Caenorhabditis elegans: one gene and its partner. The protein of the gene in region 1 interacts with the protein of each later gene in a pairwise test. Each region holds a gene or a part of one and is shown on either strand. Other genes may lie near its edges. The genes, in order: col-71 and wee-1.3.

Evidence for each region.
Region 2: the proteins of col-71 (region 1) and wee-1.3 interact in a two-hybrid assay, tested with the Caenorhabditis elegans proteins (one large-scale study listed by BioGRID).

The regions. Positions count from the first base shown.
Region 1 is NC_003280.10:3,500,494-3,504,409, forward strand, and holds the start of col-71 (Cuticle collagen 71), read right to left. Parts: upstream 2,078-3,916; 5' UTR 1,952-2,077; coding exon 1,856-1,951; intron 1,553-1,855; exon of another isoform or gene 1,433-1,552; coding exon 1,072-1,432; intron 313-1,071; coding exon 1-312. Other genes in the region: Y49F6B.2 (Fcf2 pre-rRNA processing C-terminal domain-containing protein), read left to right, coding at 2,481-2,591, 2,680-2,919, 2,988-3,152, 3,199-3,323. UniProt on the Caenorhabditis elegans protein: Probable cuticular collagen-like protein. Nematode cuticles are composed largely of collagen-like proteins. The cuticle functions both as an exoskeleton and as a barrier to protect the worm from its environment.
Region 2 is NC_003280.10:9,714,841-9,718,756, forward strand, and holds the start of wee-1.3 (Membrane-associated tyrosine- and threonine-specific cdc2-inhibitory kinase wee-1.3), read right to left. Parts: upstream 1,628-3,916; 5' UTR 1,623-1,627; coding exon 1,367-1,622; intron 1,296-1,366; coding exon 787-1,295; intron 739-786; coding exon 391-738; intron 342-390; coding exon 204-341; intron 158-203; coding exon 1-157. Other genes in the region: Y53C12A.6 (uncharacterized protein), read right to left, coding at 2,638-2,697, 2,759-2,876, 2,925-2,935; Y53C12A.11 (PRE_C2HC domain-containing protein), read right to left, coding at 3,024-3,159, 3,206-3,285, 3,332-3,739. UniProt on the Caenorhabditis elegans protein: Acts as a negative regulator of entry into mitosis (G2 to M transition) by phosphorylation of the CDK1 kinase during oocyte maturation.

The DNA of each region.
Region 1 (3,916 bases):
CTCCAGCAGCACCGTCTGATCCCTTCTCTCCATTGTCTCCCTGCGATCCAGGTTGCCCGTCGGCTCCCGGGTACCCGGCTTGTCCAGGGGCTCCCTTTGGTCCTGCTGGGCATGGTGGGCATGGTGGTGGGGTTACTGGCTCACATGGAGCCTCTGGTGGTCTTCCTGGGTTTCCGTTGAGTCCGTTGGCGCCGGCCTTTCCGTTTGGTCCTGGACGGCCTGGAGGTCCTGGTGGGCCTGGTGGGCCTGGAAGGCAGCAGTCGTGGCACGTTCCTTCGGAGTCAGAGCCCGTGGTGGCGGTGTGTGGTCCTTCTGGAATTTTTTATTTTGTTTGGAGTGAAAATTTTGAAAAAATCGGATTTTCCATCGCAAAAACTCCATTTTGACCATTAAGTGGGCGGAGCTTATGTGACAATTTTTCACATTTTCTAAAGCCTGAAGCTGTATGAAAAATTCGGTTTTTTCTTTTTTTCGCCTGTCTAAAAGGCCTACAAGGCAGGCGCCTAGAAAGCCTACAACTCAGGCGCCTGCGAGCCTACAACGCCTACAAGGCAGGCGGCTCTAAAGCCTAAAACGCCTACAAGGCAGGCGGCTCCAAAGCCTACAAGGTTTACAAAGCAGGCGCCTAGAAAGCCTACAAGGAATGTGCCTAGAAAGCGTACGAGGCAGGCGCCTAAAAGGCTTACTAGGCATGCGCCTACAGGGCCTACGAGACCTACAAGGCAGGCGCCTAAAAAGCCTACAATGCCTACAAGGAAGGCGCCTAGAAAGCCTACAAGGCAGGCGGCTAAAAAGCATGCAAGGCATACAAGGCAGGCGCATACAGGGCAGATGCCTAGAAGGCCTTCTAGCCAGGCGTCTACAATGCCTATAAAGTAGGCGCCTGCTAGGCCTACTAGACAGGGACCTACAAAACCTACAAGGCAGGCACATAGAAAGCCTACAATGCAGGCGCCTAGAAGGCCTAGATCGCCTACAAGGCAGGCGCCTACGAAGCAGCCTACAAAGCCTACAGGGCCTAGAAGGCAGGCGCCTACAACGCCTACAAGGCCTACACGGCTTAAACCTCACCTTCAACTCCAACAGCAACAAACGGCTTATCCTCGTAGGCGGCCGCCGGGCTATTTCCCTTCACCTCCGCCGCAGCCGCATCTCCACCACTATATCCGACAGGCGTTGGCTTGCTCGGATGCACATCGTATCCAGCTTGACGGGCGGTACGGTTGCCTGCCTGTGCGAATGGGAAGCCGGCTCGCAGAGCAGCAACGTCATCGAAAATCTGACGAGCATTGACGTTGCACGTGGCCATCTCATGGGACATCTGACGTTTTACCGATTGGACGTAGGTGAAGACAACTGGCATTGTGACACAGAAACAGATCACCGAGACTGTGGAGAAGGTGACGGCGGCGTAGCCGATAAGGCGGTAGGCCTGGAAATGATATGGATTTTTAGTTTTTATAAGCTTAGAAGGCCTAGAAAGCCTACAAGGCAGGCGCCTAGAAGGCCTCTAAGGTAGGCGCCTAAATGGCCTAGAAAGCCTCCAAAGCAGTCGTCTAGAAGGCCTAAAGGGTAGGCGCCTAGAAGGCCTAAAGGATAGGCACCTAGAAGGCCTAGAGCGCCTACAAGGCAGGCACCTAGAAGGCCTACAAGGCCTACAAAACAGGCGCCTAAAAAGCCTACAAGGCAGGCGCCCAGATGGCCTAGAAAGCTTACAAGGTAGGCGCCAAGAAAGCCTACAAGGCAGGCGCCTAGAAGGCCTAGAAGACCCACAAGGCAGGCGCCTAGAGGACCTACAAGGCAAGCCTATACGGCCTAGAAAGCCTATTAGGCCTACTCGAAATAGACCGCTCACCTTAGTCTTCGGATCATCATCAACGTGCGTCTTCAAGCCCATTTCGCGAAGCAAAACGGGTGTGGAGAATGGCTTATCACCGCCTGCGTTGCGCATTTTAAAGCCGCCGAAAATCGCCAACGACCGGTAAATCGGTGAAAAAGTTGGTTCGCATGCGAGAGATAACGTAACGCCGTGGAGACGCAGAGTGTGTGGTCTATCGGATTTTCGGCGGAAAATGCTGGAAAAAAGTGTTCCCTAAAGACGTCAAAGATGATAATGAACGATATAATTAGAAGCTTTTCTATAAAGTTTTTTGTCATTGAAGCTGGAATTTGGCTGAAATTTGCCGATTTTTCGCAATTTCTGAAGCTTGGAGCTTAAAAAGCATCGATTCTGCTCGAAATTCCCTCAAAAAAACCCGAAAACCCATCAATTTCCCGAGAAAATCTTGAAAATTTGGAGTTTTTCCTCTTCGGGGCCGAGTTGGAGTTTTCTAGGCCACGAGTTGCATCCGCGCTCCATTGCGAATATGGTTAATTTAATTTATTTATTTCGAAGGTTTTCACCGGGTTTTCGTCGGTTTTCGCTCTTTTTCGCCAGTTTTTTCGAATAAAAATTGAAATTGAATGATTTTCAGCTCAAAATGTCTGCGCTCTACTTCAAAAAGCTACGAAAACAGCAGAATCCCGACGTTTCAAGCAGCGAAGATTCGGATTCCGACGAGGAAATTCCAAAAAAGAAGCAAAAGCAACAAGTAATCACAAAAAACGGCGATTTTTGCAAATTTTTAGCGAAAAAAACCGAAAATTTCCCAGAAAAGCACCAAAAAAATCGATTTTCAGAAGCCTGTCGCCGAGGAATTCGATGATTTCGTCGTTGACAGAGCCGTACGTGAAGAAGCGCCAAAAGAAGGAGCTTTTGAGGCAGTTGACCTGCTCGGAACATCCTATTTGGAGCCATATGAGATGGATAAGGACTTGCAGGAGCTTCTGGAAAAGTCAGTTGTCGGGCCGAAGTTTGAAGGCGATCATCAGCCTCAAAATAGGCTTTTAGGCCGGAATGCGGCCGCCAGGCTGAAGAAAGTGCGTTGAAATCGATGAAAATTCGATTAAAATCGCTCAAAATCCAATAAAAATCGCTATTTTTCCAGTCAGAACGCGAAAAAACCAAAGGATCCGCTTGGTTCAACCTTCCAGCGACGGAGCTCACCGATGAGCACAAACGAGATTTGGAATTCCTTCAAATGAGATCAACTCTCGATCCATTGGCTCATTATCGTCGAAATGACCGGGCTGTACTGCCGAAATACTTCCAAGTTCGAGAAAATTTAAAAAATTCCCAAAAAATCCGAGATTTTTCAGGTTGGACGAGTCGTTGACGCTCCAGAAGACTTTTATTCGAGTAGAATGGTGCGAAAAGAGCGAAAAAAGACGATGGTCGACGAGATTTTGCATAATGAGGAATCGTTGAGCAAAGCCAAGAAAAAGTACGGGAAAATCAAGAATTTTTGTGAAAAAATTCAAGTTTTTGCGTTTTTAACGTTAAAATCGTGATTTTTAGAGCAAAAATGAGCTAAAAAGGATAAAAATTGGCCGATTTTCACCCAAAACGGCGAAATTTTGCCAAAAATCCTGGAAATTGATATTTTTAATGCAAAAACTCGCTAAAAACGGTAGAAATTGACCGATTTTCACTCAAAACGCCGAATTTTTGCCGAAAATCCTGTAAATCTGCAGTTTTTGCGTTTTTTTAACGTAAAATTATGATTTTGGACTCGAAAACCCCAAAAAAATGCTGAAAATTGATCGATTTTCACTTGAAACGACGAAATTTCGTCGAAAAAACCCGGAAATGGACAGTTTTTTACGTTTTTTAACGTAAAATTATGATTTTGGAGCTCAAAATTGGCTAAAATTGATGGAAAATGGTGAATTTTCGTTACAATATGGTTTTTTTTTAATAAAAAAAACATTTTCCAAGATTTTTACCGAAAAATTTGATTTTAGGAGCAAAAAAAAGCCGAATTTTCAGAAAATTTCGCCGAATTTTGTCCAAAAATGGCGAAAAACCGCAAACTTT
Region 2 (3,916 bases), 6.2 Mb from region 1:
CAGTGAACAAACGGCGTTGCGCGTTTGGTGGATTCTCATCATCGGAAAAATCGAAAGGAGACACAATTTGAGATGCTTGGCGAACAGCCACTCCAGTAAGAGATTCCAAATAAACTTTAGAAGTCTCTGGAGTTTGGATGGGAGTGTGCTGCTGATTCTGAAAAATTCGAGTTGATAAAATTTTGGGTAAAAAAACTTATTACATTGACAAATTGCGCACAAATTTCCGATTGCCGGTCTTTAATTGCAGCATGGAAGCGAACAATAGGATGAAAGAGCACCGAGAAGAAAGCCATTACCCAGACAAGAACAGCACTGAAGGCGTAGAAAAAGCCGTTAAGCTGAAACCAGTGATTGTCAAAATCCCTCATTCACAAAACTATAACTTACAATTGAAATGCATTTTACATAGGTTCCACGCTTCATGAGCTTCTTCTTGATTACCGGATGATCAAGCAAATCTCGACTTGTTGGACGAATCCTCGGATCAGAGTCAAGCATCAAGGCAATTAAACTGCGAAGATCTGTAGAAATTCCAGCGAAGAATCTATCAGGAATCTGTCCATTTCTGATTTGATGCCACGAATCTCCATTTGATGGAACGTCAAGATCAGTAGTAGCCTCAAGAATTGTCATTCCTAGACTGAAAATGTCTGATGATTTCGTGGGACGGCCGTTCAAAACTTCTGGAGCAAGATATTTCGAGTCACCTTCTTCCGCTGATTTCACATCATTTGGCTGAAAATCGATTGAATAAAATCAGAATATTAAAAAGTATGAACTTACATTTTTAAGGTTAATAACCAAACCAAAATCTCCGAGTTTGCATATCATGTCCTTTGTAAGAAAAATGTTTTCCGGTTTAATATCATCATGAATCATGTCGTTCGAGTGCAAATGATGAACAGCTTGGAGCAAATCTACGAAAATATTCCAAATTTCGTCCTCCGGTAGTGCATGTTTCTCTGTACAATATTTCAAAAGACTTTGATCGCAAAGTTCTGTTTGAATATACAATCGACCAGTTTCCTCCCAGGCTCTGTAGAACTTGACAAGATTCTTATGCGGTGGAATGATCATATGGCTCTCAGCTTCTCGGTACTTGGAAATTGAATGTTGCCGGATCGGAGCTAACGATACTTTGACAGCATACAATTGGGAATCCTCACGGCATCTGGCTGCGAATACTTCTCCGAACGAGCCTCTTCCAATGATTTCATCGATTTGAAATACTTGTTCAAAGAATGATTGAGCATTTGTATGATCGTACTTTGGCGATTCCAGTGGTTTTGGTCCTGAAAAAATGCTTGAGATGTGTTGGGTTTATCAAAAATAATTAATGTTTAAAATAATCAACTCGACATACCCTGCGGAGTGACCAAAAGTGGGACCGACTCCTTCCGAACAGACCAAATGCTTCTTGTTGGTGGCATAGTTTTTATCATTTTCGGAGCTGGACGACGGAAACGTGGAGTAATTGCTTGGCGCTCACGTTTTGTGGAAAGTGGTGTCTCACGCATCATCATCGGGATTTGTGGTAAGCGTGGAGTGACCTGTGGAAGTGGACTTGATTGACCATTTCGAATGGAATCCATCGAGGAGTTACCCTCTGTGTCGTCCATTTTCACTGAAAATGAATAAATTAATCATACGCAGCGGAAAAAAGAAGGAAGGAAGGTCAAAGAAAATAAATAACATGTTTTATCAAAATTAATATCGACAGAAATTTTTTAAAATAGATTTTTGCGGTGCAGAGAAGATGCTAAATAGAGAGAAATCGATAATAACGTGTTTGGAACGTTTTCAACTAAAAAACCTTTTGATTTCTGAGAGTATATTGGAATTAACATTGAAATTACTATAATAAGATAATATTAGTATGAAGGAATGAATAATCAATTAGGCGGAGGCGACAAAACAGCGAGAAAACAAACAATTCTGCCAACGGCGATTGCAATTCAAAACAAGCGCGCGAAAGAGGAGAAGACACATTGTGCAAACACCGTGGCGCTCAAATGCAGACTAGACAGGGGAAAACAGCGGGATATTCAAAAAATAATTTTAAATATGGTGTTCAACCGGAATGACCAATTTTGCCGAAGAAAGGGTTCAATATTAAACTGTAGTGGGTCTTCTATGAGCGATATGAGACAATTTATCTGCTAGATATGTTTTGTAGTTTGTAGTCTAGCAGACCCAAAGAAAAATAGTGTTTTTTTAAAATTTCAATAATAATAATGTGAATTACATCACGTTAAACAAAATTTCAGTAGCTTGGATCTGTCGGACTATTTACATACTACAAACCGGTTTAGCAGATGAAAACTTTTAAGACTCTCCGATACGGCCTGTCAATTCAAGAGCAATCATCTACCTAAACACCGCAGAAAGTCAGATATACAGCATTGAAAGTAGAACAAAGGGAAATAAAACAGGAAAATTTTATAAAACAGGAAAATTTAAGAGTTAAAATTTATTTTACCAATAGAATTTTCATATTTAATAAAAAAGTGGGTGCAATAAGCAATCAAACCAGCGAATAGATTTTAAAAATTACACATATTTGCAATGGTTGGGGTTTAAAGAAATATTATAATACATGGTTTTAAATTAAAATGGGATATTTGACAAATGAATTTAAAAATTATTTTCTTGAATTTCTGATGTTGAACTAGAAATTGGTGGGCTCTCGCTTGACTGAAATTGGATTATTGCGGATTGTGCTGAATCGTTTTCTCATGGTACAAAAAAATCTGACCTCTTTGAACAACTTTTTGATCGATGAATCGTTCAGTGCGCGGATCAAAGCAGCATGGTCATTGAGGGCATCATTGAGCGTTGGTGTTGGATACGGGATGACTCCTCTGTCGTTCATTCTGAAAAATAGCAATGATTTTATAATTTAGATGAGAAAAATCAATTACTGTGAAGCCATTGCCACTGCTTTGGCCAAATCAAGAGGATCCAGCTTGTACCAGAAGAACTCTTGTTTGCGCTCCTTTATTTTCTTGCAATCGAAAACATCAATCCAGTTCTCGTCGTTGATTTTTTTCCAAAATTTTTGCGGAATCCTTTGGGGAAACGGTGAACGCGACGGCCGATCGACTTTCATTTGCGACGCTTTGAGCGATTGGATCCGAGAAGATAAACTCTTTTATCCTAAAATAAATGTTGTAATTATTTCATTTTTAAACCAAATATTCACCCCAAGAAACGAAGAATTCTCGTCGCTCGCTGCACCACATGTTTGTCCCTGATGTTCAGCATCATGAAGTGACTCGCCATCTGAAATTTAAGTTTGTAATTCCAATTTGGACACTTAAAGAATTGCCAAGTCTGGCCGCTTTGCCGGATTCGCATTATCGGCATTTTCGTGAGTGATTTGGCGTTTCCTTCCTCGATTCACAGCTGGGAAAGTTTGCGCTGATTGCAGATTTTCAGATTGTTGAATATTCCGAGGGAAGGACGCAAGTTCTTGGCGATCCAATTTTGTATCGAGTAGATTCTCAGATCGTGGAATATTTGGATTGGATTTCGACGCCTCACGTTCCGATTTCACATTAACATTCGCATTCTCCGAACTGATTGTACCAGGAGCCGAGATAGGCCTAATGAGCGAATCATGAATCGAAGCATCCGTTGGTTCGACTTTCATAGAAGCTTTTCCGCTCTTTAAAGAGCTCTTACTCGACCCAATGTACACAACGTCGTCGTCTGCCTCCACTTTGATATGATTCATCTTGAGGTTGAAGAGCTGCAACTTCTAGATGATAATTATTAAAAAAGTTGAAAATTTTCAGCATTATGAATCAAGGAAAATAAAAAAATTAGTTTGAAAAGCATGACAATTGTCAATTGTCATGCTTTTCAAACTAATTTTTTTATTTTCCTTGATTCATAATGCTGAAAATTTTCA